Alligator mississippiensis: one gene and its partner. The protein of the gene in region 1 purifies or fractionates together with the protein of each later gene. This does not show direct contact. Links are inferred from orthologs where the notes say so. Each region holds a gene or a part of one and is shown in the gene's direction. Other genes may lie near its edges. The genes, in order: PLA2G4A and S100A10.

Evidence for each region.
Region 2: the proteins of PLA2G4A (region 1) and S100A10 purify together in Homo sapiens (affinity purification with western blotting; 3 studies listed by BioGRID). This does not show direct contact. The link is inferred for Alligator mississippiensis from reciprocal best matches to the Homo sapiens genes PLA2G4A and S100A10.

What each region holds. Positions count from the first base shown.
Region 1 is NC_081828.1:56,659,770-56,676,119, forward strand, and holds the start of PLA2G4A (cytosolic phospholipase A2), read left to right. Parts: upstream 1-7,816; 5' UTR 7,817-7,921; intron 7,922-16,350. UniProt on the Homo sapiens protein: Has primarily calcium-dependent phospholipase and lysophospholipase activities, with a major role in membrane lipid remodeling and biosynthesis of lipid mediators of the inflammatory response.
Region 2 is NC_081838.1:19,412,301-19,428,304, forward strand, and holds the start of S100A10 (protein S100-A10), read left to right. Parts: upstream 1-8,096; 5' UTR 8,097-8,195; intron 8,196-8,723; exon of another isoform or gene 8,724-8,831; intron 8,832-14,610; exon of another isoform or gene 14,611-14,696; intron 14,697-14,957; 5' UTR 14,958-14,978; coding exon 14,979-15,110; intron 15,111-16,004. UniProt on the Homo sapiens protein: Because S100A10 induces the dimerization of ANXA2/p36, it may function as a regulator of protein phosphorylation in that the ANXA2 monomer is the preferred target (in vitro) of tyrosine-specific kinase.

The sequences.
Region 1 (16,350 bases):
TCCCTGACACATTCCAAGAATTTGCTCAGCTGCCTGTGCACAGCTGGTGCTTCCTTTCCAGTAGATGATATGATCATCAAAATCCCCCACGAGAACCAGGTCTTTTAATTTAGAAACTTTTGCTAGCTGTTTAAATAAGGTCTCATCCACCTTTTTCCTCATGTTTCGTGGCTTATAACAGATGTACAGTGGGACATCTCCCCTGCTGTTCCCCCTATGATCTTTAAGCAGAAACTTTCAACTGGCCTATCTCTCACGTAGTACTACACCCCAAAACATGCATACATCTTCTTCAACATCTCCTCTTCTTTTTCTCCATCTGTCCTTTCTGGACAAGTTATACCCATCCAGTCCAGTATTGTCCAGTTTGTCCATTATTGGAAAAACACCTGGCTGGGGTCATCTGACCCCAGTACTCTTTCCTGCCCAGGGCAGGGGGTCGGACTCAATGATCTAATAGGTCCCTTCCGACCCTAAAATCTATTAAATCTATGAAATTCATGACATCGCTCCAGTCATTTAAATTATCCCACCAAGTCTCTGTAATCCCAATCCCAGTGAATAAGGTATACTTTAGATCAGGACACCATTTTCAGTGTCAAACTATAGCCTGTGGGTCAGATCCAATGACCCACAAGCAGCATGTGGGGAGTGCTGGATGATCACACATGCTGCATATGTTGCCGCTCTGCTGGCTCGGTATTGCAGTACTTCCAGGCTCAGTGCTTGTTCCCTCCTGGGAGAACAGCTGTTTGTCTTGTTAAAAGGTCCCAAAAACCAGAAAAGGTTTCTATCACCATGTTTGCTCAATGTGGACTATGTGTTTTATAGTCATTCTCAGTATTGGCTGCATTTAATCAATTTCATAGTTGGTTTTTATTACTAAGTAAGTATTGATTTTGGCAGCACTTTAATGATGGATAGTGTAAACAATGAGGTTTCTTTGCATGTGAATGTAAGATGAGGGACTTTTTTTTCTTCCAGGATGATGGGAAAATTATCTCATTTTGTATTTGAGTAAATATAGAAGATATAGCTTTTCTTCCAACAGAAACCTTTTGTTCTGGGATCTTAGTGCACTGTTCCACTTCAGGAACCTAGGATGTATACAACATAAAATGAGTTAAAACTTTTTCCAGGGACAATGCTGTGTACCTCTGTAAATTAATAGTGGCTAATTCAACTTAACTGGCAGCCATTCCAGGGAGAAACCTGTCTGCTGTATACTCTCCTTGGCCACTGAGCAGCAATACAGCTTGAAAGATCTTCTTATAAAGCATTTCCATTTTTAATATGTATGTGCCTATGCAAAAACTCACAATTTTTTAACAATCTAAAAACCAGAGAATTCTTTTAAAGTGAGTATTTAAATGCTGTCTTGAAACATAATTCATATCCATTAAGAGGTGATGCTTTAAAAAGCAATTTAAAACCAAGCTATGGGCATTTATACACATACTTTTTTCCCCTGTGATACGCCAAAGATCCACCACTTCAGAGCAGACTGATTAACTGAGTCTGCTCTGCATGGGAGCTTAGGTGAACTGCACTGTGCCGTGTTTATGTACAGTTGTATAAGTGATGAAATGCATGTTAGTGCACAGAAAATGGCGGCAGTGCGCTTTTGAAATGAAGGACCTTGAGGTGTTTTAGTTCAAAAACGCACCGCCACCATGACATGACTTTGCTACTTATATAACTACAAGCACCTCAGTGTTGGGCCCTTTACAAAGGGCCCAGTGCTGTGGCACTTACATGTGTAAAAATGCCCTGAATGCCAAAGAGTGTGTGGGCACTGCTTTGAAAAAGAGAATGAAATTCACTGCATTGAGTCGATCAATGCAGTGAAAAGACTTCATCCACTAAAAACTCATTCTAACTGAAATGCATCCAAGCAGGGGGAAAAATATGCAAATTTGTTACTCTTTAACTCTAGTAGCAGTTTTGAAGGAGTTAAGTGGAGTATGCAGAAAACCAGTGACCTGTGATGTAAATAAAAAGATGTCAAGAGAATATTTATTGTTCAATACTTTTCCAAAGGGCAAACAAAGTTGTTTACATATAGATTGTGTACCATATCTAACAGAAAAATCTTCAGAAAATTTTTTATCAAACTGAGCTCTTTCAGTCAAAATATCATAGGCACAGATTCTTTAAAATTTGCCAAATAATATTGTAAGATCCTTGAAAAGAAAGCATACTTTATCTTCTTCACTGTAATCTTCTGTAGCATTAGTACTCATCCTTTTTGGCCAGTGAGCTGGATGGCCAGTGCCCAGTCCCTCTGTGGGCTGGATCTGGATGGTGGACTTAATCCAGTTCTTGGGGTGGGTGCTACGGCCCCATTCTTACAGCATGGAGGAGAGTGGGGCACAGCTTGATCCTGATTCAACCATATGGAGGAAAGGGACTTGTCCTGGCCTCATGGTGGGGAAAAGGGAGAATGACCCTGCTCCAAACCAGCCTGGCAGGGGAGAGGGCATGGCTGGGCCGCAATGGGCAGAAGGGAGGGGGCGTAGCTGTGCAGGGGGAGGGGCATGGCCCCGCTCCAACCTGGCCAGGCAGAGGGAAGAAGACATGGCCTGTGGTGGTGGGAAGAAGGGTGTATGGCCCACACCCTAACTAGCTGCACAGAGGTAGAGGGCATGGGGTAGAGGTTCAGCTCTTCAGGGAGAAGGAGGCACAGCCTGGCCTCAAATCAACCTCATGGAGGGAAGTGGGCTTAGCTTGGACCAGATATGGCCTTGCAAGGGGAGGGGGTATGGCGCACTCTGACCTGCGACTTGAGGTTTTGGTAGCAGGGAATGGTGTCAGTATTAACTGCCACTGCTCCCTGCCACCATATTTACCGATGCATGGGGAGTCTCATGGGTCAGATTCCAAGGCTCCATACGCTGTATTTGGCTCATGGACTGGAGGTTGAGCACCCTAGTTATATTATGTGAGCTGAACCCTAAATATTTTGCACATGCCCCCCTCCCTGCTCCCCTGCTCAACTGAGGTGGCACCAGTTGCCTGTGGCAGGGAGCTTCAAGCCCCCTGCTTCAAGATGGTGATCAGGGAGCAGGGGCTGGGAGATCCTTATCCTTCCCAGCTTGTTCCCTGATAAGGATCTCCACTGTCATGACTGGGGAGCGGAGAGCTGGGAGACCCTTATCTCCCAGTGCCAGCTCCATGACTCTGGAGCCAATGCTGAGAGACCCTTATCTCCCAGCACCAGCCCCACAGTTGTGAAGCTGGTGCAGGTTGATAAGGGTCTCCCAGTACCAACCCTGTGGTCATGGAGCTGGTGCTGGGAGCTTCTTGCTGGCAGGGTCTGGGGACCCTGTTTCCCATCCAGCTTGGTGAGTGCAGAGCTGGGTGGGGAACAAACTGGGTAGGGCCTATTCATGGTCCTGGCCCCATTGCAGGCAATGGTCACATGGAGCCAAGGCAAGTAGCAGGTCAGGGGGATGGCTGGCAGGAGCTTTGGGGCAGGAGCCCCTGGCTGATGGAGCCACCACTGCACTTCAGCCCAGGCACCACTGTCCCTGCTGCTGGGTGGTGGGTGGCTGCCAGAGGGCAGGTGAGGCTAGGGCCAGAGGCAGGGCAGTGGGTCACATTAAGGTGGGTGGCACTGCTTGCCCTGGTGTCAGTGGGTGGCACAAAGGTGACAGCCAGGGCCAGAACAGTGTCCAGTACCCAGCAGAAGTGCTGCCAGTGCTTCTCCTGGTGCCTCCACATTCTTGGGGTGGGGAACGGGACCAGCCAATGCCCCCACTCCCCAGCTGGTGAGGGCCAGTCTCGGGGGGGGGGGGGAGACATGCCCCATGCCCCCCTATGCATCACCTATAACGTTCTCCATGTGCCAGGCTGCATGCACAGGTGCACAGACCTAGTAAGTCGGCTTCACAGGCCCTGGCACAGGTGGCCATCAGCCAAGCTCCCTGCCCCTACTGCTCTGCAGGGACAGGTGGGCCTTTGGGTGCTGGCTGTAGGCAGGCTGTCTTCCCTGCCCAATTTCCAAGCCAGAACAGGCCAAGCTTCTGGCAGCACCTGCTACCATGGTTCCACAGCCACTCTCCCACCCTTCTCCTGCAGGCCAGCCTCTCTCTGGTGCTGCAGCTCTTGTGTTTGGAGGGTGAGGGCTCCTGATTGACTGGGCCATGGAGTTGCTGGAACCCTCACCCTCCCCTCTCTGGAGAGGCCTCCTGGGGCCAGACCCCCCTGTACTGGCTCTGTGCCCTGAGTGTACCTCTGCTGAGAGTGTCCCAAGCATGTCACAAGGAGCTGTTTGCACTGACCAAGGGGTGCCTGACCCACGATACCCTGGTGCTGCTGATTGCCATGGTGTTCCAGGTATACCTGAGAACCTGGCATAGGACCCTGAGCTCTTATGGTACAGAAGGCAAGCCTGTGCTGCCCCACAACCTCTGCTGCCAATTGGAGGGATATCTGTGGCTGCACTACATGCCCTTGCTCCCCACAGCTGAGGATGAAATTGCTGCTGGTCTTGACTCATTCCTCCACATGAGAGGCCCATGCCTGCCTAGCTGAGGGGGCACAGGCTGCTCAATAAAGTTTTGCACTGTCTCCCACCTCCCTGTGTGCCGTGGGGAGGGACACACAGGGCCAGAGGAGTGTGTCTAGGCTGGGCAGGAAGGGGGCCCAGGGGCAGAGACAAGGGTGAGGGCAGGGTTGGGGAGGGTGGGGCTTACTAGGTGGGTGTGGCAGGCATGCCTGGCAGCCCAACTTGGTGTCTGCTAGCAGCAAGGATGTGCAGCTCCTGGCAGTGTCCTGGGGTGCAGGGGCACAGTGCCTAGCTGCCTAGGCAGAGGCCTCCTCCAGGGAGGAGCTGGAGCTGCTGAGGGCCAGCAGTGCCATGGCCAGCCTGGCCTCCTTGGTGGAGCTGCACACCCAGGACTGGCGGGGCAGGCACTGGCCTGCGCTCCCAGAGCTGCTGGATGAGGCATGGGATTGGGGAGCATGGAGGGACCAGCTCCTGGTGGCTTGAGGGGCCATACCCCAGTGATGCATAGCAAATTTGTTCCCGGTCAGGATCTGCATGTTTGTTACTGAGCAGTTACTACTTGGGAGTTCATTTGCTATTTGTCCCCTCTGTGTGGCATTGGTCAGGCTGTAGCTGGAGTACTGCATCCAGTTTTGGGTGCTGCACTTCAGGAGGGATGTAGATAACTTGGAAAGGGTTCAGAGGAGGGCCACCCGCTTGGTCAAAGGCCTACAGGAAAAACTCTACAAGGACCAATTAAGGGACCTGAATCTCTTCAGCCTCCACAAGAGACAGCTGAGAGGTGATCTTGTGGCCATCTACAAACTCAACCGGAGGGGACACCAGGAAATAGGGGATACGATGTTTACCAGTGCACCCATCAAAGTAACTAGAAACAATGGTCACAAACTGAAGAAAAGCAAATTTAGATTGAACATCAGGAAAAAATTCTTTATAGTGAGGTTTGCCAAAATATGGAATATGCTTCCAAGGGAGGTGGTGCTGTATCCTTCCTTGGAGGTATTTAAGAGGAGATTGGACAAACACCTGGCTGGGGTCATCTGACCCCAGCACTCTTTCCTGCCCCTGGCAGGAGGGGTCAGACTCGATGATCTAATAGGTCCCTTCCAACCCTAAAATCTATTAAATCTCTGAAACTCCTAAGTAGAGCAATTTACTGAGCAGTAAGCATCTGCAGATGTGGATGGTGGTGCTTACTGCTCAGTAATTTGCTGTACTGTGCAGCAAAGGATCTTGTGTAGGTGCACCTGAGGAATTTTTCAACGCATGAAAAATGCTTTTCATTGTCCTTATACAAGAGCTTCCCCCCATTATAAAGAAAAACTTTAAAAATGCCACAGTAGAAAGGAATCTTAAGACCATCTTTATATTTTCATAGATGAACAATAGAGGGCGCAATAGAAAGCAAACAAAACAAATAAATAAATAAAATAAACCCTAATGTTTTCCTATGCAGATTTCATTTAAAAATAGAACTGCCTTCTCTTCCCCCCCAAAGGCACAACTTTGAATGGAACTGTAAGTTATATAATTTAGACAGTAGGAGCTAGTGCAGTTGAATGATGATTGGGTATGTAACAACCTGCTAATTTTCCATAGGTTGGGACAAGGGTTGTTAAGGGGATGATTTGGAGGGTGACACTAGGAAGCTTACAGAAAGCTCCATTTGCTTGGGCAATTTTGCAGTACCTCTGAGGCCATGACATACCTTCTGGTTGCAAGCAGGTACGGTGCACTTAAAAATAGAAGGTCCTGCCCAAATGGAGTCCCTTTATTATTGCACAGAGCTCTGTGCACGCAACAACGCGTGGGTGCTGTGGTTTATATAATAAGATCTTACTGTAAACTATATATGCAAATCCTAAGCACGTACCTAACAATGGGAGGTTGAATGGGTTCAGAAGTCATGATATTCATATGTAAATTAGGGTAGGTGCTTTGTATTTGCTTGAAAACTTGAGCTTTAATAAGCAGAACTGCATTTTTAAAGTAATATTTCATGAAATATTTCAAAATATTTTAATGTAATATTTTAAAAACAGGCTTTGCTCTCTGCAGACTAAGTCTCCCAGGGCGGGTCTACACATTTATTAATGCACTTTAGGTAATGCATGTTAAATCTAATACCTCCATTGTGAGGTACTAGAAAAAATGTGCATTAGTCTATTTTAATGCTTAGCTAAAGAGTATGGTTTTTTGTCCTGTTTTAATGTGCATTAAAATAGGCTAATGTGCATTAAAATACACATGTAGATGTGCTCCCAAAGTCTCACATTTATTTCTCTCTCTAATTTGGCCACATGGAAAAGATATGCATACATTTCATTTTATAGTAAATGGAATAATAACATATGTCTGTCAAGTGAATGCGGATGATGAATCCAAGAGTTGTCTTTTTAATTGCAGTCATATTACAATAGCTTTTATATCCCGCTACAGAATTACATAGGTCAGAGGAGGGATTTTTTAAAATTTCATTAATCTTAGCAAAAGTATTTTTCTCTGACAAACTCCTAGGGGCAACAGGGTTGACTAAAAATATTATTTATATGGAGTTTTTGTTTTAGTCCTTAAGGTCTGTAGAGGACTTATTTTAATGGGGATGGGCCATGAACAGTAACCGTATTGTGATTAGGAATGTTCAGACATTATTGCTTATAAATTTTTCTTCTTAAGAGGTGGGGCAATATCAACACACTTCATTTAGAAAACACATTTTAAAAACCATCTTAAACATCCCTTCTTTCTATTCTGAAAGACTTCTCTTCCTGTGTTTGAGCTTCATTTATATACACACAATATATACTGTATGTATATGCATACACACACACACACTATGGCTGTGTCTATGCAAGACACTGTGCAGTAACTTGTTATTACTACGCAATAGCATCACAGGGCGCAAACAGTGATGCAACACTACTGCACAGTAAATGTCACCAGGCAACCATGACGTGACGCAACTGTGCAGTAACACCAGTTACTGGGCAGTCATTTAATACTTGGTTATGCAAATACTAAATGACTGTGCAGTAATAGCTGCGCAGTCAGCGTCTCATGATGCTGCGCCCTATACGTATGTAATTACAATACAAAAATAGGTAGGCCTGTTAATTACCAGGAAACTAAAGCCTTATTATTTACTGTTAGTATTTTTCCTGGTTGCTGAGATGTAGCTCTGAATTTTCACTTTAAACAGCTTTTCCTAGAACAAAGTTTCAAACCGTCCTATTCCAATTCAGCTAAACAGCACTAGGGGCTAATGCTACCACTTTAAGAGACAGCTATATCAGCTGACACTTAACTCCACCCATTCATGAAAGTCGAGCAATGGGGAAAAAAAAAAAAGATCCTGCTTAGAAAGCAAGAGGGATGCACAAGCCCAGAAGAATCTAATTTAGCACTGAAACTGTAAGCAATATAACTTGGACTTTGCTATTTTCTAACAGAGGCTGGTTTTAGCACTTAAAAAGTAAACTGGAAGCGGGGAGTGTGGGGGAAAGAGCTAGGACAGATCATTCTGTATTGTACTAAGGTAACGTTTGCTTACTCTGTTACTTGAAATAAGGAAGAGGAACAAGCTATCTTCTTTTTCTTGCTGCTAAAAAAAGACTTGTGCTGCTGCATTAAATAGAACTGAAATCCAGAAAGGAGTCTGCCAGATTGGGACCATGTGGGAAAAGTTTGAATCCTTCAGGTGATACTTTAATATGCCTTCACGTGATCATGCCCTGAGCCCTCTGGCTAGTAGGAGGGGAACTCTTGTCTGGGGTTTTTTCCCCTGCATTTTTGTGGCGGGATGGTTCTGCTTTTTCTTTCTTTGGAAATCATTGCTAGGGACCAACTCCCTAGCCATGGCAGACAAGAGGCTTAAGTCGCAGCTGTGCTGTAGTTACCTCTAACTGTTCCCCTGTGACTGTTACCCCTGTGCTGTTTACCACTGAATGTGTTTTGAGCCAGTAGGAACATTTTTAATGTGCCTAACTCTGGTAAGAAGAGGGATGGGGATCTCATAATTATTTGTAAAAGTGGATTTACTTCTGGTAATCACATCTCATCCTAAGTAAGTACGTATTATCCGAGTCACATACATACTGGACTGCCAAAGTGGTTGGGGAAACGGTGAAAACTGAGCTTTTTGGTCATGGGAAAGGTATCACAAGAATCAAACCAAATTAGGATGATGTGGAAACACTGGGAACTGTTCCTGATTGCCAAACATTTAGGAACAGTCTTTTTGTTCCTACATTTTATCTTCCATTTTTATTTTGTTTGCTGTGTTTTCTGTTCTGCACTGTTCATGTGTAACCAGGACAAGCTGCATGCCAAATTTAGGTCTTCTGCCTCTAGATAAAGCAACCTGTGACCCACAAAATGTATTATAAACAATAGGCTATTTTGACAGCCTGAGGTAATGGACTTTTTAATCACTTACCCAACTATTAATAAAATACTTAAAAGCATTTTAATTACAAAAGCAGACATCAGCGCTTAAGTAAAACAGTACGTTTGAACACGGTGAAGGAATCATGGGTTAATAGTTTTGGAACAATGTTTAGTCTTCTGTATGTTATCTGATAATATGTCCTGAAGGAGAAAGTGCTTGTGTGATGCATTTAACAAAAATGGCCTAAGTAGGCAACATTCCTAACAGTAAATCATAACAGAGAGGTATAAGAGTGTTAAATAAACTTTTGTCCATTATGAAATCTCATTCCTGGGGAAAAATCAACTTGCCTGTCTGTGTTGGGTACAGCCACTAGTGTCTGCTCCCTCAAAGGTTATTGTTAATTCCATTTCTAAGTGGCTTGCTTGTGCTTAGTAATTGTTTAAACTATCATTTATGAAGCAATCTATTGTGAAATGTATAGAAAAGTAAGATGTTAAAACTATTGAGCAACATACCTTCTGTAGTGGAAGTCTTTTGCCTCTGTGAAAGTGTCTACTCATTTAGTCACTGGTGATTTATGCTGGTCATCTAATAGTAAGTGCAGATTAGAATTGAGGTCAGAAAATTTTACGTAACAGTTTTTCACTCTGTTTTCTGTTGCTTGTGTGCTTGTATTGGTGATATATTACCTTTTCCAGGCTTCCTAGGACTGTTGGAAGTTGTTTTATTTGAAAAGTTTTAGACAAGTCATTTTGACTGTTTGAGCTCTGAAATGTGAATCCTTCTTCCTCACAGGCTTTTTGTGTGTGACAGCATAAAAAATTAGTGGAGTCTGAAAGTGGGTCTGGGCATAATTCAGTTCCAGATTATGACATGCTGAGACCTTAAACTATGTCCAGTTTAAGAGGCCCCATACGATAAAAATAAGCCACGAAATCCACGAAAATGGATTTTCATTAAATTTTAAGATGCATTATTGTTATTTTAGTACACATTTATGAACTCAATATGAATAACTGTGGAGCCATATCTGTGTATACTAGCCAATTGCCCATCATAAATGATGGATTTCACAGAAGTGTTTACATGGCCGGCCCTGAAGGGTGGCCCTGCCCCTGCCCATTCTGTAGCCCCTCACCGGCAAGCCACAGCCCCTCAACCCTGCTGGTGCCCCTCACTCCCAACCCACAGCCCCTTGGCACTGCCCGTACCCTGCATTCCCAACTCGCAGTCCCCCACCCCTGTGCCCCTCACTCCTGACCTGCAGCCCCTGAGCCCTGCCGGAGGGCCCCAGTTGTGCCTGCCTTACCCAGGCCAAAGTGTGGTGGCTCCAATTACTGTAGGTGGTGGCGGAGTGTGTCTGGCCCTGGCACGGGCTGAGAGAAGAGGAGGAGAGGCTTGTGGTACCCCTGCCCTTGGATAGGGCTGCAGTGCCCTGTGGGCAGCCTGGCCAGGGACCCTCTCTCCTTTCCCCCCCACTCCCCAGGCAGCGGCTGCTCAGCCCCTCGGAGCACAGGCACTGGCACCTATGCTGCCCCCGCTGTTCCCCTGCCCCTTTCCCCCACTGGAGAACAGGCAACCCTCCCCGCTTGCCCTGTCACAGCTGCAGCCCCCGCTCCCCCTGCCTGGACCAAATGTCCAGGATTTTGCTGTGCTCCAGGGGTAGGAGGGAGGAGGCGATCAGAGGCAGCAGGGCGCTCATGCAAATTTTTTTTTTCTGTCTCTGTGGAGGTGGGGTGAGGGGAGCACACACATCGGAGGCTGCAGGACAAGGTGGCACTGGCGGTAGAGCTCCCATTTTAATTCAGCTGGCCCTGCCTGGCCTGCATAGCCAATTGGCGCATACACAATTGGGCAAAAGTATTATGGACGGACAGACAGACAGCCTAAGGCTTTTACTATATGAGAATTTTTGTCATATTAGAATGAAAATGTCCAGTTTTTTTTCTTATTTAGAGACCACTTATATTGCAAGGCCCTAAGGATGTAACTTAAGTAGCTTAAGCCTAAATCTGGCACTGGCATAGTTTTTAGTAGAGAATAAGCTGGTTCAGACAAAACTGTAACACCTGAAATTTCAGGGAATATGTTATAGGGAAAGAGTGTCTGTCATACTGAAAGTTAATGGTTAATTAGGTGCTTGACAGTGTCTTTGAAATCTCCCTGATAAATTGTCTTTCATGTGGTATGGCAGAGCTATCTTTTTCTGCATGCTTGAAAGACCTTCCTTTTTATTCCCATCCTTCTTTCTTTAAGAGTTCCATTTAGTACTAACAATTTTCCATAGTAAAATTCAACCTGAACTTCCCTATTTTAGCTGAAAATACTGGCTCCTCTATACCTATTCTTCCAACTGCAGTGTCATTTTAGCTTTTTTACCAGGCATTCAACAGATGTTTGAACAGAGAAATGCAGTTAGGTTTTTTGTGGGTTTTTTTTTTAAATAACTTGCCTTTTGACTGACTGATATAATATTACATTGACAGCATCATGGTTTGCTTTTAACATCATATATATGTAATATTTCTATATTTTAGCATATTGTATCTTCAGTGTACATCAGCAAAAGTCAATTAGTTATGCATAATTGACTTCTTTGATGTGCGATGAAGATGCAACATTTTAAAATATAGGAGGTCAAATGCAAAAATTCCCTATGCTATTCCTATATTAAAGTTGTTATATAGTTAAACAACCCAATGTTAGTATTAAATGTTGTTCTCTTGGACATATGCCTGTACATACAAGCCCTGATTGTCAGCTGTATCTTCCGAAAACTGAACTCAACAGGAAAAGAGCAACACCATGGCATGTTCTACATTATGGTGGCTTGGAACAATCGCCTTCCTGGTCACCAGCTCAAAAATAGCTGGATTGTGAAGAGTCATCTGTTTCTACTCAGACCATACTTCTTTCTGCATATACATACTCTCAATAAGGGATTGTTTTGGGGGTGAAATAGGGCCCTACTACTGGCCTAAACTTCCTGGGGAACCCTTTATTCCCATAGTATTCCTTATGGGCCTAGGAGGAGGCTTTGTGGGTCTTTCTGGAGAGCATCGCCTTCTCTCTGCATGGTATCCCCAGAAGCACCAAAGAGTTGAAAGTCCAGTTGCAATGTAATAACAGCTTTCCAGCTGCACATAACCAGGTGGGTAGTTTCATGGCCAGTCAGGAATAAACTTGAATTGACTTCACAGTTTTTCCAATTTTGAGATGCGTGTGCAAATTGGAAAAGGATGGGGACAGATGGTTCGAGTGGTTGCAGTTCCTGTTGTCTTTGAAAATGTTTGAGAGTCCAAGTTAAATTCAATAGATAGTTGTGGCTGGGGAAAGAGGAAATGGGGACATCCCTCTTCTATCCAATAGCTCAGAGGTAAAAGAATTGATTTACGATTTGGAAGTTCATTTTTATCTTTTACACCAGGGGATTTGAACCTGTATATCTCACCTGCAAGGAGTATGCCCTAGCCATTGCATTCTAGGGAATTTGGGGCAAGGAGGCAGATCTCAGTCTCTCTTGTTCACTTATTCTTGCTTTATATGGAATGAATATGCATTCACTAGAATAGGGGCTGGAATCCAGGCGTTTCATCTTTTAGGTGAGTGCTCTACCCTTCAGGCCAGAGACCCTTCTCTTTTTCTGATTGTTTATTTTATACCAAGTAAAATAGCCAAAAAGGAGAAATTAAGTGAGATAGATCTCCAGCATCCTGTGGGTTGGGACACCGACTTTTGCATAAGGCAGCATAACCCACCTTCAAAGGAGGAGATGAACTCTACCTATTATGTATTTTCTGTCTCTTATTAATACAGTCTTACTATTTTTTACCAGCCCAGAAGACAAATTCCAAAACCTAGCTCAGTAACTGGAATGAGTTCACCATTGCCCAAGGTTATAATAATTTGCTGTGGTAACAGAGTGGTTTCAGTAAAACACTCATATATTCAGGGCAGTGGTATTCAAATTTTCCTGAAGGCTTGCATTTGCTATTTATCTCAGAGGAAGGATATGAATTTCCTGGCTGTACCAATCTCCAGTAATCTGTTGCAGTCTTGGAAATCAGTGACAGAAATAAAAAGGAGTGAAGCAGTTGCAACCTTTATCTCCCCGCCCCCCCCTCCCCCCCCCCCAACAATACTGTTCGGAGTAACACCATTTTTGCAGATTTTTGCAGTGATGGGGAGAAGAGTAATATTGATACACTTCTTTGTTCTACATTGTGACTTAGTGTCCTGCAGCACAGTACAGAATTTAACAATTTATTATTTGCTCCCCTATAATTAGGCAGGGCAGGATCCAATATTTTAATCAATAAATACTGATAAACATTGATTATAGCTGTATCTCACAGACCTTGAAATGAATAGATAAGGGACTTAAAAAAACCCAAACACCTGGGTTGGGGATGAGGAAATCTGGAGCTGGAGGTACTGCACACGTGCACACATGTGTGCACATGGTGCTCCCTGCAGGCAGGGTTGGGAGAGCCCTGACAGTGGCTCAGTCAGATGCTGAAGAAGCTGGGGCTGTACTGATAGGGTTATGTTGGGATGGAGAGATGGAGGGGCAGGGCTCTTGGCAGCCGAGAACCTGGTGCTGACAGCTGCTTGCGCAGCTCAGGTCCCAGCTGGGGACTGGGCACCAAACTCCTGGTAAGCCTGGGCTAGCCCATGCACGATCAGGGTTCACCAGGAATTTGGCCCCTGGCCTGATCATGCAGGGGCCAGGCTGGGCAGGAGCTCTGGGAACGTGGGGAGAGGCAGCGGTTGCTCATCCCAGGGAAGGAAGTGGCCAGAAACTGGTTTATAGCCATGACCAAACACAAATGCACAGCTGCATACTGCTCCAAAAATGGATGATTGGGTAAAAATCTGAACCCTTGTTGCATGAGGAGTCAGATGAAGACATTTCAATACAGAGCATCTTCTGTAACTTCTGTCTGTGCTGCCTCCCAGCCTTGAACTCTTTTCAGAATGGGAGGGGGGAAAGGGAGTGGAGGGAGTTTGGTTTGCGTTTTTTTCAGTCCCGGCTGGAGGGTGGGGTGAGTGTATTGGAGCCCCCTCCCCCCAGGTGGAGGTGTCTCTAATTAACGCATCCCACCCTCCAGCACTAGCTGGCAAACCCCTAGAACAAGCCCCCTCTCCTTTCTTTCCCTCCTCCCATTCTGAACCAGGGACAGACTGGGAGAGGGGCTGTTGCTAGGGGAAACTGGCTGCAGGCTGGCAGCCAGCCACTAGATTCCCCTCCTGCCTAGAGCTAACAGTGAACTTCTGTTTGATCCAGGGGATCATTGTAACTCAGAATGCTTCCTGCAAAGTGTTTTGAGTTACAGCGATGAGCTGCACATCTGTCTGAACCCATAGTGATCTAAGTGTAATGTCTGCACCTACACTCCAACTTTAAGCACTTTGGTTGTGGAAAACAAGCCACAAGAAGCACATTAGGTGAGCAAATTAGATGCAAAGACAAATAAGAACAGAGGACAGAAAGTACAGCAATTTTTAGGCAATGAAAACGTGCCATTTACATGGCTTGTGAAAACTGTCAAAACAGCTCTGTGAAATTGTAATGTATTTTTACGTTGTCTATTTAATAACCTGCAAAAGTAAAAAAGAATAGAAAAGAAACACCCCCCCAGAAAAATAAGAAAAAAAACAGTATGGCTTTGAGGCTTCATGTGAAGTCAATGAGGTCTTTCCATTGACTTAAGTGAGCACAGTAGCAGGCCCAGGACAGTTAGAAACATAACATTGTATGTCTATATTCTGCATCGATGAAACCAGGTCTTTGTACTTGGTAGGCAAATGTTTGTATTCATATGCAAAATCAGTAGCTGTTGCTAAGCAATTTACTTATATATGCTTCTAGCAGAACTGTAAATATTTTCTTAGGGAGGATACTTCTTGTTTAGAACTATTTAATTCAGGGGACTAATTCTGTATGTGGCAAGAGAAGATTTCAGATTTCATCTGACCCCAGCACTCTTTGCTGCCCAGGGCAAGGGTTTGGACTTAATGATCTATTGAGGTCCCTTCCGACTCTAAAAATCTATGAAGTATGATTCTCTGTAAGAGTAGTAGTTATGGAAGATGGTGGCTTTTGAGTAACTTTTGCTGTATGAATATCTGGAATAATTTGCTTTGATAATGGTTGTAAAACACCAACCCAACTCGGACTGCATATTTGGGTTTTATGTTCAGTATAGATCACTGTTAAATTATTTAAATGTACCCTTCCCCAGAGCCTTAATGAGATTTGACCTTCCAACTATCAGACCTGAATGAATGTAAAAGTCAAATTTTGAATATTTAACTTTTCTTTTGCACTAATTTGTTGAAACTTTACTAGAACAATCATGGATAACAGAATAGATTAGGACTGTTGTTTAATTTTACAATTATCTTTTGGTTTGAAAACTGAAGTACCATAATCATGAGCCAATAACAGCATTAGTAAAAAAAATGCAACAATATAAATGCAGGTAAGTAATAGCATGTAGCAACAAAGCTGTACAACAGCACTGCTGGTGAGTCCCATTTCAACTTGCATGGCAGTATATTTCTTATTTTTAACAGCTTTATATACACTGCAGCTCATTACGCCCATCATAATTTCAAAGCATCATTAAGTTTGTGAGATGTTAAAGTAAAGGTGCAATGGGATCTGAGCAGGATCCCAGCCATTGTGCTTCCTGCCTTGCCAAATGTATGGCAGGATGGGTGATTATGGGATCTGGCATCAGACCTCATATTGCTGGTGCAGGGGGAGCCTGAACCTGGGCTCCCACTACATCAACAAGTAACAAGCTTGGCTTCCAGATGAGGGAGTACATGGTCCCCTAGTCTGACTCAGAGCTCTGAACAGCTGGCCCAGGGCTCCCAGCAGCAGGAGTGTAGAGTGTGCTCTCCTTGTTGGGAGCCCTGATCAGCTGAGGGGCCTCCCAGCCCCTGGAGCACATGCTAATCTTAAAAGGTTCCCATGTGCTCCAGGGACTGGGCACTGGCCACACGTTCAGATCAAGGCATAATAGAAATGAGCCACAAAATTATGATACACATTTTGTGTCATAACTTTGTGTCTTATTCCTCATTGTATCATGCCATTAATTGATTGAACTTTTGGCCAGTCACTACTTAAGATGGGATTAACCAGTTAATCATGTCTGTCAGGGGCCTTAAACAATAGGGCCATTTATACATGTGCTCTGGGACTGCATTTTAATTAGCGTGGCTCTGATTGATGCTCTAACTAAAGCACCTTCAGCACCATATGTATCAGCATCCTTGTGCTGAAAAATGTCAGCAGGGACACTTTAGCTTTAGTTAAAGTACCCCCACCACCATTTTTCAGTGCAGAGACACTGATACATGTGGAGTCCGCTGGACCACAGTAATTACCATGTTCCAGCAGACTCAATTTAATAGAGTCCAGCAGACTTGATTAAGC
Region 2 (16,004 bases), on another chromosome or scaffold:
CCATCCTGAGTGAGCTCCTGGGGAAATAAAAGAGGACAGGCACACCCCATCTCCAGCAGAACATCAGTATCGCTTACCCATCCCTTCTGCCAACCTCTCAGTCCTTTTGAATGGTCTTATTATTTCACAGAATCACAGAAAAGAGGGGCTGGAAGGGACCTCCAGAGATCATACCTAGTCCAACCCCTGGCCTGAGTCAGGATCAGCCCTGTCCAAACCATCCCAGACAAACCTATTAACCCTTTTGCATCCTTCAATGGATCTGCACACAATTCACAAGAGAAACCCAGAGATTTCCAATGGGAACCCACAGCGCTACAGTGTCTCGCTGTGGGCGGGTTGGGTTCTTTGCCCCAGAAGAAATGCCCTAGTATTTTTCCGCAGCCAAGAAATGAGTAGAAAGCAAAGAGCTGGCACTTTCCGAAATGAGGATGAAAAGGTGGAGAACCACTATTCTAACCCGTATGGAGCTATATCTGCTGTATCTGCCTTCTTCTCAGATGTGCGGCAGGGCATTTAGTACTCAGAAACCCGTCTGATCTTTTCCCCACTAGAAAGCTGGTCTCAGGAGCTATTACTGAGTGGTTCTTGTCTCCTGGCCTCAGATTGCTTTGCTCTCCAATTTCTCTGCATCTTTTTTTGAAGGGCAGTGCCCCAATGGGAGCAGTCCTTCAGCAGAGGCCTCACCAGTACCGGACTGTGCACAGAACGCTCTTCCCTGGGTTTGCATAGGATCCCTCTAGATCATGGGATCCCATGCTCTTCCATAGCGTCCTATAGCTCCTCCATAGTCCTCCAAACATGAAGCCCAGAGCTGCATGCCATACCCTAGCTGAGACCTTGCCAGCGCCAAGCACAGTGGTACTATCACCTCCTGCATCTAACACACAATATCCCTGTCCCAAATTAGCTTAGTTGCTTTTGGGACAGCACCAATGGCTGAGTGAGATGCTTCTCAGTAGGGGATTTTTCCCCTGGGCATAGCACTTTGCGTTGACCCATCTCCCTGTGCGCTCCAGGCAGGTCTCCGATCCATCCAGACTCTTCTGCGTTCTGCTCCTGCCTCCCAGCCCCTTTGCCATTCCTCCCTGCAGGCTTGTCCAGGAAGCCCTCCACTCCCTGTCACAAATTGCCAAGTTAAAATGCCCCAGATCCAGGACAGACCCCTATTAAGCTAGAGATCAATCTTCTTAAGTCTCTTGCTGCCCCTGGGGTGTAGCTGGGGCTCTGCTCTGCTCTGCAAAGCTCAGACACTGACCTTGTAAGATGATTAGGTCAATTCCCTTGTGGTTTCCCTGGGGTCCCTTCAGCCGCCCATCCCTTAATCTATTGAGCAACTGTTCCACTCCAGAGACAGCTGCATTTTAGTGGATGGTGAAATACTGAGGAGTGGAGGGAGGGGGCAGGGGCTGTCAGATGCTACTTCATCTCCTGGCATTGATCTCACCCTGCCACTGGACCCTGCTGATGGTGGTGACAGAGGGAAGTTGCAGTGATTCACTGCTCATGGACATACAGCTCTGGGCCAGCACAGGGCTCCCCTGGCTAGCTGCTGCCCTCCCCTGTGCTGCCCTGGCACAGTGCTCTCAGGGTGGGTCTGGTGATGGGGCCAGTACCCCCAGCTCTGCTGCTGCCCACCCCCAGGTCTAGCTTGGCCCCTCTCACTGCTGTGAAGCCCGTGGCACTTCTGCCATGCACAAGGACACGTTTTGGCCATGTTAGCTCATCATCTGAGTCACATCAGCCAGGGGAATTTGCAGAGTTGATGACAGGCCAGGTTCCCTTATAACCCCAGGCACTTCTCCACCAGACTCAGTCCAGTGCTGCCAGAATGAAGCGGGTTGCTCTTCCTTCCCTCCTCTCCCTCCTCCTGCTTTTGCTGCCTGGAGGTAAGTGGCCATCACTCCCAATGGTTAGAGCTAGATAGCATGGCCGATAGGGACTGGCAGATAGGGTCGAGATGAGTTGGCATTTGTGGATTTGTGGATACAGCCATAAAGAGGACGGGGATTATTTGCTATGTCTGCAGAGGCCAGGGTGCTGAAATGGCACCGGGGAAGATGGAGGGTGGGCATGAAGTTTGGGTTAGAAATCAGCCCCTGGAGAGAGGGTGAGATCTCTGCCCTAGGGCAAACACCCCTCTGGGTGCTACAGACTGGGATGTCCCTGCCTGGGGTAGGGGCTGGAGGAGAGGGCCCTTCATCCCAGTGCTTCCAGGTGCTGAGTAGCCCATCACGGAGCTTCCCAGTGATCTTTATTTTGGGGTCTCATGCTTGAAAAACCAAGGCAATATGGCTGGAGGTGGAGAGGGGACTATTCAAGCCAGTATCTGAGAGAGTTTCCACCTGATGCGTGGTTGGATGGGGGAAGCTACTGAGGCTCAGGATCCAGCAGGTCTAATGGAGACTTTTGTAGGGCTCTCCAGAAGGCCCAGGGGCAGCAGGGTTACTGCCCCCAGCCATGATGCCTACAACCCTCTAACCATCAGAGACCAGCATGAGACCTCAGTGGAGCCCACAGTTTGGAGATTTGTCCTCTGGTCAAAACAGAGCTCCTATAAGGGGTCTCCTGGACCACGGCAGACCAGTCGTATACAAACAAGGCAGCCCTAAAGAGGATGGAGATTGTTCTCTGTATCCACAGGGCAGAGGAGCTCAGCGCTGCCATGGCAGAAAGCTCTGAAGCAGCTTGAATTTACTTCAAGGCAAGGCTGGACCTGGCATGGGCCCCAGAGCTGCCTGTGCCACCTCCATGGTGCCTGTGCCACCTCCACCGCTGCCGCAATGGGACAAAGAGTCATTGGGCCCCTTGATGGTAGGGGGAAATTGTGAGGGCCAAGAGGCCTTGTCATTGCACTGACCACATCAGAGGTGGGTCCAAAGTGGAGCCCCTGACCAGCAGCCCCTGGGCTCTGGGGGGGAGGTGTATGGAAAATGGGGCTCCTGTTGTGAAGGACTGAACCCCCCTGAGAAGTGGGGAGCAGCTTTCTTGGGATGTCCTGTCTGCCCCTGAAGACCCCTTTCCCCCACTTTTCTCCTGCAGGAGCCTCGGCAGTGAGTGATGCCCTCATGGAGCTGACAGGGATTGTGGGGGAATCAGTCCTCTTCCCCCTCGACATCCCCATGGAGAGACGAGGCAACGCGGTCATGTGGTGGGTGGGGGACCAGTGTGTCTCCCTGGCCAATGTGACACTGGAGGAGACCTTCCTGTTGTATACGGTGGCTCCATGCTATGCTGGGCGCCTGAGCTGTGCCGATGGGAGTGGGGCAGTGATCCTTAGCAGCCTGAAGACCAGCGACACAGGGCTCTACACCGCCACATCCCTTGAGGTCGGCAGCTTCGTCCCCACCACGTGGCGCTTTCAGCTGCATGTGATCCATGAGGACCAGGGCACGGACACGGGACCCTCCAGGAGCCTTCTTGTCCCTCTGACCCCTTCTCCCTGTGCCCCAGAGCCTGGGCAGGGCGGAAGCTCAAATGGTACATTTGGGGAAGGAGGAGGATGTAAGGGCTGAGGGAGGAGGGCAGCTTTGGTCCCTATAGTTGTGCTTGGCATGCGGGCTCAGTGCTCTCAAGGCACTGACCTTCTTCACCCTCATGCCCTGACCCCCATCCTATGTGTTTCTCCAGGCACCCTCCCAGCCCCGATTCAGGCCACGTCGCTCTCCTACTGCCAAGCCAAGGGACTCATCCTGCTGGGGATGCTGGCATGCCTGCTCACGGCCCTCATTGCCACACATGTCATCGCCGGGAGGCAGCCAAGGCACCCTGCAGAGAAGAGGAACCATGGGGATACCTCTGCCCACATTCCCCTGCAAGTGTATCCGCCCCGCCGGGACCCGGGCACCAGCTGCCAGGGGGGCTCGTTGCCACCCTTACTGGGCAGACGTGCAACAGCTGGGCACTATCAGTGATCCCTGGGTGCAGGGGCACTTGTCCCAGCTGCTGATTTCACTGGGAGATGCCAGAGAGATGCATTGCTGTGTGCAGCCAGGGCTGGCCATTAAAACGGGGGCATGGGTGGACCCTGGCTCTTGGCAGTGCTGGCTAGGGGCTGCCCAGCCCAGGGTCTCCAGGCTAAGAAACTGCCAGGGGATGAGGGCCCAGAGTCCTGGGATCGCTCACAGGTTCAGCCCGCAGTGCCCCCACCTCTCCCCCCTTTCCAGTACCAAGTAGGGGGAGATGCCCACGCCTGCCTGCCACGACACCCACCTGCCCCCAGTGCCAGGGGAGTGGAGCGTGAGGGGGCACAGTAGGGCACAACTCCTACCTGCTGGGCACCCCCAGGGCTCCCCCGCTTACCCCTAGCCCAGGGGACAGGGGGATGTGTGTGCTGCCATCCAGTGGCTGCCCAGGGTGGCTGCACCCTGTGGTGCACGAGCTGGGGCAGGGGCCAGCACCCCAACCACCTATAGACGTGACTCGTGGACATGGCCCCACATGGGCACAACACAGGCCCAGTCCTGACTTCTGCATCCATCCGGAGCACCCGAGGACTGTGGGATAACTCTGGGGCTAGCCAGACCTGCCCCCAAGGGAGAACCCAGCATGTTGCTAGGGACATGGTGCTTGTGGCCATAAATATATGAGAAATAAACTGCAAACCCAAGCAAAATGCTTTCCTTGGGTCTCAAATTCTTCCCCCATTTCTGTCTGCTCATCGCTGGCTCCCACAGGCCTGACACAGCTCTGGCTGCTGATCGATCAAACCAGGCGTGTACTGGGCAGAGCCTGTGACGGTGGCCATGATCTCATCCAGCTCACACTGATGTCCTGGCCCCTTCTGTTCCCTGCTCCTGTTGCCCAGGGCCCAGATGACAGCAGTCTCTCCTGGATGCAAGGCTTGAGACCTGCCCTGCCCCAGTGCCTTCGCTGCCCTGAGACCAGGTGTCTGGCAGTGAGATACATGCCCCCCCAACACACACACACACCCCCCGCTGGGAGCTGCTGCTGGCTGGGTCCTGAGTCAGGGTCTAGCCCCTTTGGTCTCCCTTGTCTGGGGAGCAGCAGGGGCTGAGCTGGCCTGGAAATCCGGTTAGGGCCTGTGTGCAGGGTAAGCCTGTGTGCCATCTCACACACACATGCAAATACATGTGCGTGCCTGAGAAGGGACCATGAGTCACTGCTTGATACAGCAGTGAGGTGCTCAGAGCAGTCACTAACCCAACCCCCCTTAGCAGCCCCTTGCTCACTCCCAGCTCTGCTGGTGCCCCTCACTCCTGCCCACTCAGCCTTCCTGCTGCTCCATCCTGACTCATTGCTGTTACCCCTGCACCCACCTCTTGCCCCACTACCTGCACTGCCCAGGGGTATCCACAGGGCCGGAGGGGCAGGCCCTGCAGTGGCGATGGGGGTGGCTGGGTGGGGTGGTGGCAGGATCCAATTGTCCTTCCAGAGATGAACAGCAGGTGGTGCCAGGAGACAGTGCGAGCCCCCCTGCTAGCTCTTAGGCAGGGCTCCCCACTTCAAACCAGTGCAGGCCTGGCTTCAAGATGGGGAAACTCAGGCAGGGAAGGGCTGTACCCCAGGCCGGCTCCTGAATTCATGGTGCAGCCAGGGCTAGGACCCCGGTCCCCTGAGAGCAAGGATCCAGCAGCCCCAGGCTCACAGGGGCTAGGCTGTGACCCCCAGTTGCATGGACTACCCCCAACATTGTGTGTGTGCAGCACTAAGCACATTGGGGCTCCTCAGGGCTGTAGGTGCCACCATGCTTCCAGCCCCCGCAACATCACAGAAGCCCTGGGACACCGGGGTCTGCCTCACTCGCCCATGAATGGCTTGCTCCAGGTCCCCACATCCTGGGATGGAACCAGGGAATCTCAGGCTCGCTCCTTCCATCTTTTAATTATGCATGAAATTAGCACAGCTAATATCACCCCTGCAGCTGCGTCAGGCTTGGCACTAGATTCCCTGCAAGGGCAACCACAGATGCTCCAGGGCACCCACAGCTAATTGCCCTAATGAGCCTTGTTATCTAATTAGGAGCTGGTAGGAGGCCCATGATGCATCCAGCTGTCCCAAGGTCCTGCTGAGGTCAGTGGGAGGGTGGTTTGGGGAGAGGCTGCTGGAGAGGATGACTCCCTTGGTCCCCCCCTAGCCCTCCCCAGCTAGGCTTGGCCCAGAAGGATGAGCTGTAGAGGGAGCCAGGAACAGAGTCCAGCAAAGGGCATGAAGGCTGCAGACCTGGGGGGACCCCACATTGGCAGGCACTGCCTCTCCATGCCAAGGCAGGTGCCTGGGTCAGCAGCTGGGGGCAGGGGGGAAGGACTGTGCCTGCGCTGAGCCGAGCCAGCAGGCCAGGAAAGCCACTGGAGTGGCTGAAAGTAGCTGAAGCCAGTAATAGCAATGAGCAGGTTTGGATGTGCGTGGGGCAGAGCCCAGCCTCTCTCATACCCCAGTACCTACTGTAGGGGCTGATGTCTTGGTGCAGCACCCTGAGGTGTGCTGGGTTTGAACATGAATAGAGGGAGAGGGTGCATGGGGAGACACAGGCAGGCAGACAGACAGAGAGGTATGTGGGGATGGATGGACAGACAGACAGAGGGAGTATGTGGGGGGCTGGGTAGGATGGATAGAGGGATGGGATATGTGGAAATAGATGGATGAAACATATGGGGATGGATGGATAGCTAGATAGAGAGGGTGTGTGGGGAGAGAAAGAAAGTGTGGGGATGGATGGATGTGTAGATACATAGAGGAGTTATGTGGGGATGAACAGAAAGAGTGATGGGCTATATGGGAATAGATAGATGAGATGTATGGGGATGGGTAGATAGATTCATAGGATATATGGGGATGGATATACAGAGAGAGAGGCTATATGGGGAGGGAGGGAGGGAGGGAGGGATGGACAGACAGTCAAAGTCCCACCCCCAGAGCACACTGCATCAGGGGCTGATGGGCCTGGACAAACAGGCTCTGCTCCTGGCTCTCCGAGCAGGCCAGACCCATGTCCCAGCACTGCCCTTTCCTCTTACCACAGACCTGTGCAGCACAGAGGAACTGGCAGCGAGTGTGGTATGGCCTGGTCTGGGGGAAGCTTTCCACATTTGTCCCCCAAAGCTGCAGCTCCTGGAGTCCCATGATCAGGGGAAGATCTCAGCTGTTGCAGCTTTACAGAAGAAACTTCCTGGCTCCCACAGTCGCAGAGGAAAGTGAATGGATGTAGCCCCTTATGGCAGCCAAGAGAAGGACCCCTATCTGGAGCCAGTTACTGCAGGCTGCTTGGGATCCTTCACCCCTGGGGCTCGGGACCCAGCCAGGCCAGGTGCTGGGGCAGGGGCCTGATGTCCGAGCTGCTCCTGCTACACCCTGGGCAGAGCCAGCTGGGAACAGCTTCCCAAGCGCCCTTCCCGTCAGCCCTGCGGGATTTCCAAATGCCTTCATGCCTACAAGCCCTTGGATGCAGGCAGCTCGCCAGAGCCCTGTGGGAACAGCCCGGGGGCTGGATGTGGCATGCTGGGGTCAGCAGCCAGCCCCGAGGCCTTTCCAGCCTCAATAGTTCCCTTCTTTTCTCCAGAGGGGCCAGAGGTTGCTGCTGACGGCAGAGGCAAGTCACAGCGCCAGCTCGGCCGGGGTTCAAAGGAGGCTGAAATGCAGGCTCCCGCAGCAAGCAGCATCATGCAGCCCAGGGCGGCATGGGCAGAGACCGCACAGAAAGGGTCTGTTCTCTGTCCGCCCCGCCGGGGACCCGGGGGTTGCTCCCTTGTGCCGGCCCTGGGCTCCGGCCAGCCGGTGCGGGCGCCAGCGGCGCGGGAAGGCTCCCGAGCAAGAAAAGGCCAGGGCGGAATCACGTGCGCAGCTGCCCATCGCGGCAGATTGTGTGTGTGCAAACAGGGCAGGTGTGCGCTCGCGGGAAGCGCGCTGCTCCGTCCGTGTCTCCCCGTACCGGGCTGGCAGGGATGAGAGAGCCGTGGGGGCGCGAAGAGGCCCGTGCCTCCTTGCTTTGGCCCCGCTGCCTGAGCCCTTGTCAGCGCGCCTAAAAATCAGCGCAGCCTGCGCAGGGCGCGATCCCCGGGCCGGGGCCGGGGGTGGCCCCGATCCCGATCCGGGCGGGGTTTGATCCCGCCCCGCCCCGCCCCGCCCGGGTAGAGCCGCCCCCGGCCCCGCCGCCGCCCGCCCGCACTCGCCAGCGCCGCTCGCTCCGACCCGACAGACCCGCACCGCTCCGCTCCGCTCGCCCGCCCGCCCGCCCGGTGAGTCCCTGCGGGGCTCGCTGGGGAGGGGGCAATGCCCGGCGTGGAGGGGGTTAACACTAGCCCCAGTGCCCGGCATGACAGGGGTTAATGCCACCCAGCGCAGGGGGCTGCCCCGAGGTCGGAGATGGGGGCACTGCCCCGTGCTACTCCCCGCACGGGGGCACCGACCTGCCGCGCTCCTGGCTCAGACTTGGGGAGCTGGAAGCACTTCCTAGCGGGGCGTGGGGCAGCTGCTGCATTTGTGAACTGGGGGGGGCACTGCCACCTATTAGCTGCAGGGCATAGTGATGCCCCCCCTCTGCGCCCGCGGGGGCTTCCCCTGCCCCAGCAGGTCGTGGCCTGCGGCGTGGGCCGGGGCAGTGCCGTGCTGGGGCGTGGCACCCCGGGCTCTGCCATGCGCGTGCGGGAGCTGCAGGCTGCCAGGGTGCTCCGGGCACCGCCCTGCCCTGTGATTTGTTTGCTCCTGGAGCGGGTAGCCCAGCCGCTGTGGGTGCCAGGAGCAGCTGGTGGTGGGCTCTGAGCAAGGGCGTTGCCCGGGCTGGTTCGCCGCTGGTCTGAGACTGCTGCGGCATTGGTGGCAGGGCCACTGCCCTGATCTCTGCCTGTCGAGCTGATCCCTGACCCAGGGACTGGGTAAGAACTAGGTTGCTGGAGCGCCGTGCCGGGAGCTGGGATAACGCCCCCCTTGGGGGCAGCTTGGCTGGGCTTGATCCCCAGAGCAGGCCCTTATATATCACGGGGAAACTGAGGCATGGATATAAATAGAAGCGCAGCTGCCACAATCTGTGGCTCCCACCCCAGGGAGCTCTCTCTCGCCCTGCTCCTCCTGAGGGAATGGGACCCAGGCATCCTGGCCCCCTGCTGTAGCTGCCATGAGTCCTCTCAGTGGCTGCAGCCTGGGCTTGGCGGGATCCCGTGTCCGCTCAGAGCCCCGGTGCCCGGAGTTGGGGATGATCGGAGCCTGCGTTGGAGCCGGCATGGCGTAGGGCACCGCACCAGCCCACGAGGCACCGAGAAGCTCTGCAAGGAGTTGGGCCGTGGGCGACATCCGGGCCCGATTGGTGCTGCAGAGATGGCCTCTCTCCATCCATGCCCGGGTGCGGCCGCCTCTGTTCCCAGCAGCTGCTTTGCTCCTCTGTTTTTTCTGTATCGATTGTGGGTGCACGAGAGTTTCCATCGCTGGGCCAGGACTCCTGGGTTCCTTCCCTAGCTCTGCCATCCGCTGCCCAGGCTAACCATGCAGACTAATATCCTCTGATACGTCCTTTTGGGGGGCTCCCGGCCTCTGGCGTGCCCTACCGCCACAACAGTGGATGGCTCTGGGTTTGTGCAGCATCTTGCACGGAGCAGACCTGTGGCAATCCAGAGAAACCGTCCCCTAGTAATGTGCCCCTTTCTCCCACGGGCTTTTATCTACCCCTCCCCTCCGGTCCTGTGAGAACCACACGATCTTTACCACATTTATGCTCGTGGCAGATGGGGAAACTGAGGCATGGAGCTTCTTAGCGACTTGCACCTAATCCTGGTGGTTGCCCTTCCTCCCCGCTGGCCGGGGTGCTGCGGGGTAAGTGCCTGCGACCGCCGTCTGCAGGGGGAGCTGTGCCTTCAGCTGAAGGGGGCAGAGATCCGTGCTGCTGCAAGTGCCCAGGGTTCGAATCCCACAGAGGACATTGTGGGGGAGGAGGTACACATTTGCAAGTGCCTAGGTAGGGAAGGGGTCTCCATTTCCCCTCCCAGGCTGGCCGGTGCCCCCCATGCCCTGGCAGTGAGTGTCAGGGAGAAAGCTCCCCTCCTCCACCCGGTCCAGGAGACGCTTCTGGCGTAGCTGACTCATCCCTCCCAGGCCCCGGCTGGAAAATCCTCGCTCACGCTGGCGGGGGCGACCGGGGAGCCCAGCCAGGAGCAGCCCAGCCCTGTTTGCTCTCCCCATAGCGCCCATGTCAGCAAACAAGCCGGAGGGTCCCCCAGCTACGGAGGATGGGGTCTCTGGCGGTGCCCAGCCGCGCCCGGAGCTGTACGCTGTGTTTAATGCTCTTAGGGGGCCAGAGAGAAGCGGGCAGCCCCAGGCGACACATCGGGGTGGCCCCATGGGGAGAGAGGGAGCAGGCTGCCCCCAGGGGTGGCGTCCCGGGGTTTGCCTTTGGCTGGTGAGGCTGGCACGGGCAGAGTCGGGGCGGGCAGGGGTTTGCAGCCGGACGCGCTGCCCAGCCCACCCGACCTGGAGCGTGTGCAACGATCCCGCCCGGCTGAGAGGCCGCGGGGCCCGAGACGTCCGGGGCGTGGGGTCCCCGCGGCACCCCGGCAGAAGGCTGAACGGGTGGTCGTGGGTGGGGCGGGCGTCTGGGACGGGGGAGGAGGGAGCTTGGATATGGCCGAGGGCTGCCATCTTGGGCGCGGTCAGATGCCATGCGCTCAGCCCCGGTCCTTCACACGAACCATGGAGGAGACTCCGGGAGGGAAGGGCAGTTGGATGGCACGGGCCAGAGCAACGGAGGGGCGCCATGCTGGAGCCAGCCCTGGAAAGAAGCCAGTCCTCTGGGGAGTGCGGCGTGAAGGGCCACGTGGGCTCGCATCCGCCTTTGCAAAGGAATGGCAATGGCTGGAGGCGGAGAGGATATGCCCAAGATGGCAGCGTCTGACCACATCTAAGATGGCTGGTGCGTGGTAATCTCTGACTGGGCTAATGAGGTCCAAGGTGACAACCTGTGACTGGGCCCAGTATGGTAGTCCCTGACTTGGTCTAAGATGGCTGATTGGATCCAAGGTGACAGCCTTTGACTGGATCCAAGAGGGCTGACTGGACCCACTAGGTCTCAGATGGCTGACTGGGGCCAAGATGGAGGCCCTTGACTGGCCCAAGATGGCTGACTGGATCCAAGATGGCACCCCCTGACTGGCCCAAGATGGCTGACTAGGCCCAAGATGGCACCCCCTTGACTGGCCCAAGATGGCTGACTAGGCCCAAGATGGCGGCCCCTGACTGGCCCAAGATGGCGGCCCCTGACTGGCCCAAGATGGCTGACTGGGCCCAAGATGGCGGCCCCTGACTGGCCCAAGATGGCTGACTGGATCTAAGATGGCGGCCCCTGACTGGCCCAAGATGGCTGACTGGATCCAAGATGGTTTAGTGCCCTCACCCCCAGGAATGGGCCTGTCTCTGCTCGGAGCTGAGCCCAACCCACGTCGATATTCGGGCACGCGGCCGACCGACATGCAAACAAGCGAGGCACGGACAGAGCGAACGACGCGGTCCGCGCCCCGTGCGCTGACTGCCTCCCAGCCTGTTTGTCCTGCTGTGACATCGGAGAGGCCGGAAGCCCGCCCCGGCCCCGGGGTGCTTGGGATCCAGATTTTTAGACTCTTGGGTCCTCCAAAGATGGCACCGCTCCGGGCCGCACAACTGGAACCAGTTAGCGTCCGGCCGGGGGCGGGCGAGGTACGGGGAGGAGCTGTGTGCTTGGGGACTGTCGCTGTTTAATCCCTGTCTTCACTAGCATCAGAGCAGCTGGGGTCAGCGCCTGGCCCGAGCCTGTCCAGCCTCTGACACTTGGCCGCCGCGGGCTTTCCCCACTCGCCACACCCCGCCCTGCTGTCCCCCGGGGCCGCACGCCAGGGCGGGGCACGCCGTACATGCCCTTGGGCCCCGCCAGCTGCCCGCGGTCGGCAGAGCATCTGCAGACAGGGTTGCCCATCTGTTTCCCATCAGGCGCTGACTCTGCCAAGGGGGGCGGAGGCCTTGGACCGAGTCCCTGGCTCCCCAGAGAGGGAGCTGGCAGCTCAGCCCTCACACGAGCATTTTAACTTCCACGGTGCTGGCAGCACCTTCTCCCTAGTGAGCTCCCGCATGCCCGCCCTACTCCACACCCCAGAGGATGCCCCCTCGATGCAAGAGACAGCGGCCACATCTCAGGACTTCTCTCAACCCTCAGCTTTGAGACGAGGGGCAATCCTAGACTCGTGGAGAAGTCCAACTCTAACCCTTTCACAGCCATACTGGCAGCAGCTCTTGGCTGCTCAGCCAAAAGCTGGAACGCTAGCTGCTGAAGACTGGACTCTGGGGATAGATCTAGGATTTTGAAAGAGCTGAAAGCACTCGGCAGGGCTGTGAAGACTAGTAGTCGCCAAATGGCAAGGTCTTCAGCAAAGTCCTGAAGGAATGAGAGCTTGGTCGGTGGACCCTCATATGTACCAGATAAATATGGTATTTTAGCAGGAAGCAGTCTGCTGACTGGGGCTGCAGTTCCCCCCTCCCCAGTGAAAGCAGTTGTGCAAGGGGGAAAAAAGACCCCGATTCTGAAGGGGGCTGAGACCCAGCCAGCTCGTTTCACATAGCCTGCTCTCAGCAGCAGGGAGCCACAGGCTGACATTCGGTAGGTCTTGAGCACCCAGAGCCAGGAAAACAAGGAGGATCTGGGCATCCCGGTAACCTGCTGGCTACCTGCCCACTCTTATCTCTCAAGTGATCCATGCTTTCATAAAGGAACAACCCCCCTCAAGGCACGCATGCATGTATGCACGGGAGATAATTGCTGCAATGAAGGCCTGGTGTTGTAAAACATCCCTGCGCCCTAGCAAGTGGAGCCCGGCAGGGACCTGTTCCACCCCCAACGAGGTGGCTCCGGGGCTGAAGGGCGCGTGCTGGGGAGAGAGACATCCACAACTTTGCCAGCCATTTGCCTAGAGAGCCTGCTGCGGGCACCTCATTTTCAGCTGCAGTGCATGCAGGGGCAGGAGATGGGATTTTTGCAAGCAGTCGCAGGCCCCTGATCACAGGTGCAGAGTGGAGAAGCAAACTGCCCTGCTTCTTCCCCTTTCTGCTGGGTTTTCTGCCCCCCGCCCGGCTGCGTCCCATTGTCCCTTCTGTCTCAGTGCAGAGGGCAGGGCAATGGGGGCCGTTTCCCTCAGCAACCGGGCTGGAGACCAGGGAGAGCTGTAGCTGGGCTGGGCCAAGCTATCGCAAAGCAGAGTGAGACCTCCCCAGTGCCAAGCAGAGTTCGTGGCAAATATCTCCCCACGACAGCAGCTGTCATCAACTTCTTGTCTCAAACTGCTGCCAGACACAGAAGTTAGGTCCATGCAAGAAAGGCTGCTCTCTAACGTCTTGCTAGTGTGTTGCCACAAGCTAATAAACAGCTGCCCTGTTCCACCCTAGAGGTGGCTGCATTTTAGTGTGATCCAATAGATTCAAATGAGCCATGAAGTCAACTGACTCCCTCATTGCTGCCTGAATAGAAATGCTGCTGGGCAAAAAATCAGCTTCCCTCCCAAAGACACCCACCCCAAATTTGGAATGGGGGGGATTGGGAGGGTGACTAGATGACCTCCTGAGGTCCCTTCCAACCCTCACTTCCTATGAATCTGGGGAGGAAGATGCATGTGGTATGTGGGTAAATACGGTCTTTTTGTTGGTGATGCACATGCAGGCCAGAATTCCCCGCTTGGGGGCTGCTTTGGGCCCATCAAGTGTGTCAGACATTTGCACACCCGGGTGGATTCCTGGCTGCGCCGTGCTTGGGTGGGACCGTTAGGCGTGTCTCTGCTCACCATGTTATATGACGTTCGCCTCTGAATGGGGCTCGCAGAGGGTTTACACCACGCTGCTGTTTTGGGCAACAATCAGTGCCTCTAACCAGAAGCATCTGGGAGTGGCGGGGTGCAATTCCTCCTCTGTGCTAGCTCTGAGCCCTGCTGACTCAGAGACCAACCCACACGCTGCTGTCACTCGGCTGTGACCGGTTCCTCAGGAGTGATCAGGGCTTTCCCCTGCCCCAAAACCCCCTCCCAAATGCCGTCGTGTCAGGAATCCTGGACAGATGTGACAAGGAGACGCATTATTTGCTCCAGCATTTAGGCATGAAAGAAGAGATCGGTTCTCTTTTCCGTTGGCTTACAACAACCCCCTTTTTGTTCAGAGTGCCCCTGGGGCCCCAGTACTGGGGTTTTAGATGGAGGATGGTGATCCAGCATTCTCCACGTCCCCTTAGGACAAGAAAGCTTTGGCTTTCTCTGCAGCAAGGAGGACCAGGGTAGATGCAAAGCAAAGCTCCCTGACTCTAAGAAGCGATGATCATGCCCCTCCCCAACGCACATGTGTTATATCCCACCCCCATGCGAGGCACCGCTCAGGCCAGCTGTCGGTGGCGCTGGTACATTGCATTCTCCTGATGCTAAGAACATCCTTGTTCTGGCTTCGCGTCCCGTGGCTCTGATTTTGCTTTGATCTCTGAGCTGAGACGGTTTCACGGTGCAATGGATTCTTTCACCCTGGAGGCACCAGACGCTGACTGCAATCCCTGGCAGAGGCACAGTGCTGGAGAACTGGGGGAGGGCATGGGAAGGATGCCAGAGGGTTGGACGCTGCTCTGCCCTTCAGCCCAGCTTTCCTGGTGTGTCCCCGGCATCTGCCTGGCTCTGGCCCAGCACTTCCCGGTGCCAGGAACAGAGCAGTGTCGGGGGAAGGGGTCTAGACACCCGGGGAGCTGCCTGTGAGCTGGAAAGGTTGGCTGTGGGAGGGTAACGAGCCATGAAAATCTGCACCGGTATTGTCTGGCACTTGCTCCATGTCTTGATGGACTCGGGTGGAAGCTGGAGGCATGTCCCCAGGCTCAGGCCACAGGGAGCCGGGTGGGAGTCTCAGGCCTGTGGGGCCAATCCAACAATCTCACGGTTGATTCTGGCCTTCAGACCCACACATCCGGGTAGACCGGGGCTGAGACCCTGGGGCTGACGGCTCCATGCTCTTTCTCTGCCCCCCAACAGGCTCCAGAGACCAGCGCCAAGATGCCGTCTCAGATGGAACATGCCATGGAGACCCTCATGTTCACCTTCCACAAATACGCGGGGGACAAGAGCTTCCTCTCTAAAGAAGACCTCCGGCTTCTCATGGAGAAGGAGTTCCCCGGCTTCCTGGAGGTGAGGCCAGCATGTCTACTGCCCCCCTCGCCACCCGCCCCGCTTGTCCTTGAGGGGCTCTAGGCTGGGGGAATTACTTAGGGGACGCTTTTCCAGGTGGGGCAGGGATGGAGGGGGCCGGTTTTGGGCTCCATCTGTTTCCCAAGGCTCCAGGAATGGGACAGTGTGGGTGGGATGCATAAGAAGAGGTGGGCCAGATGGGGGCTTGGATCCAGGGCGTGGGATGCACATGAATGCCGGTTAGATTACAGGTCACTGACGTGCACCCAGCTCAGCTCAGCAAAGCTGTGCTCCCCTCCCAGAGCAATTAGTGCAGCTCCATCCAGCCAGTCTCAGTGCAGTCCACCCTCCAGCCCTGCCAGGAATGTCCTCGCCTAGAAGCTTGGCCTTGGGAGTTTGGGTGGTGGGGCAGAAAGGCATCTGCTCCCTGCCTTTTACCGCAAAGGCCTTGGGGCTGTGGAAGGAACTGAACAAGGGTTCAGATCCCCTGCTCAGGGCCAGACAGGCTGTAGGTGCTGGCAGGCTGTGCCCAGCAGGGCTATGTTGGTGGGCAGACGGGCTGGCTGGGGCTCGGCATGCTTCGTGCCCTGAGGACTCCATGGCAGCCAGCGCAGTCATTCCCCCTCCCGCTATTGCAACCAGGGCAGCAATGGGGTGCTGAGCTGGAGGAGGGCACATCTGGGTCACTCTTGCCCGGCGTAAGAGAGGAGCTGGCAGCTTCAGGGGCATCACCCGGGGTGGCAGGGAGGGCAGGGCTGGAGCAGCCTGCGGGGGCTCCGGGCAGGATGCCAGGTGAAGATGGGCCCTGCTCTGACCCACCTGCACCCCTGCACTGAGGGCAGCTATGAAAGCCGCTGTGCTGGGAAGTGACCACAGCACTACTGTGTATTGCAG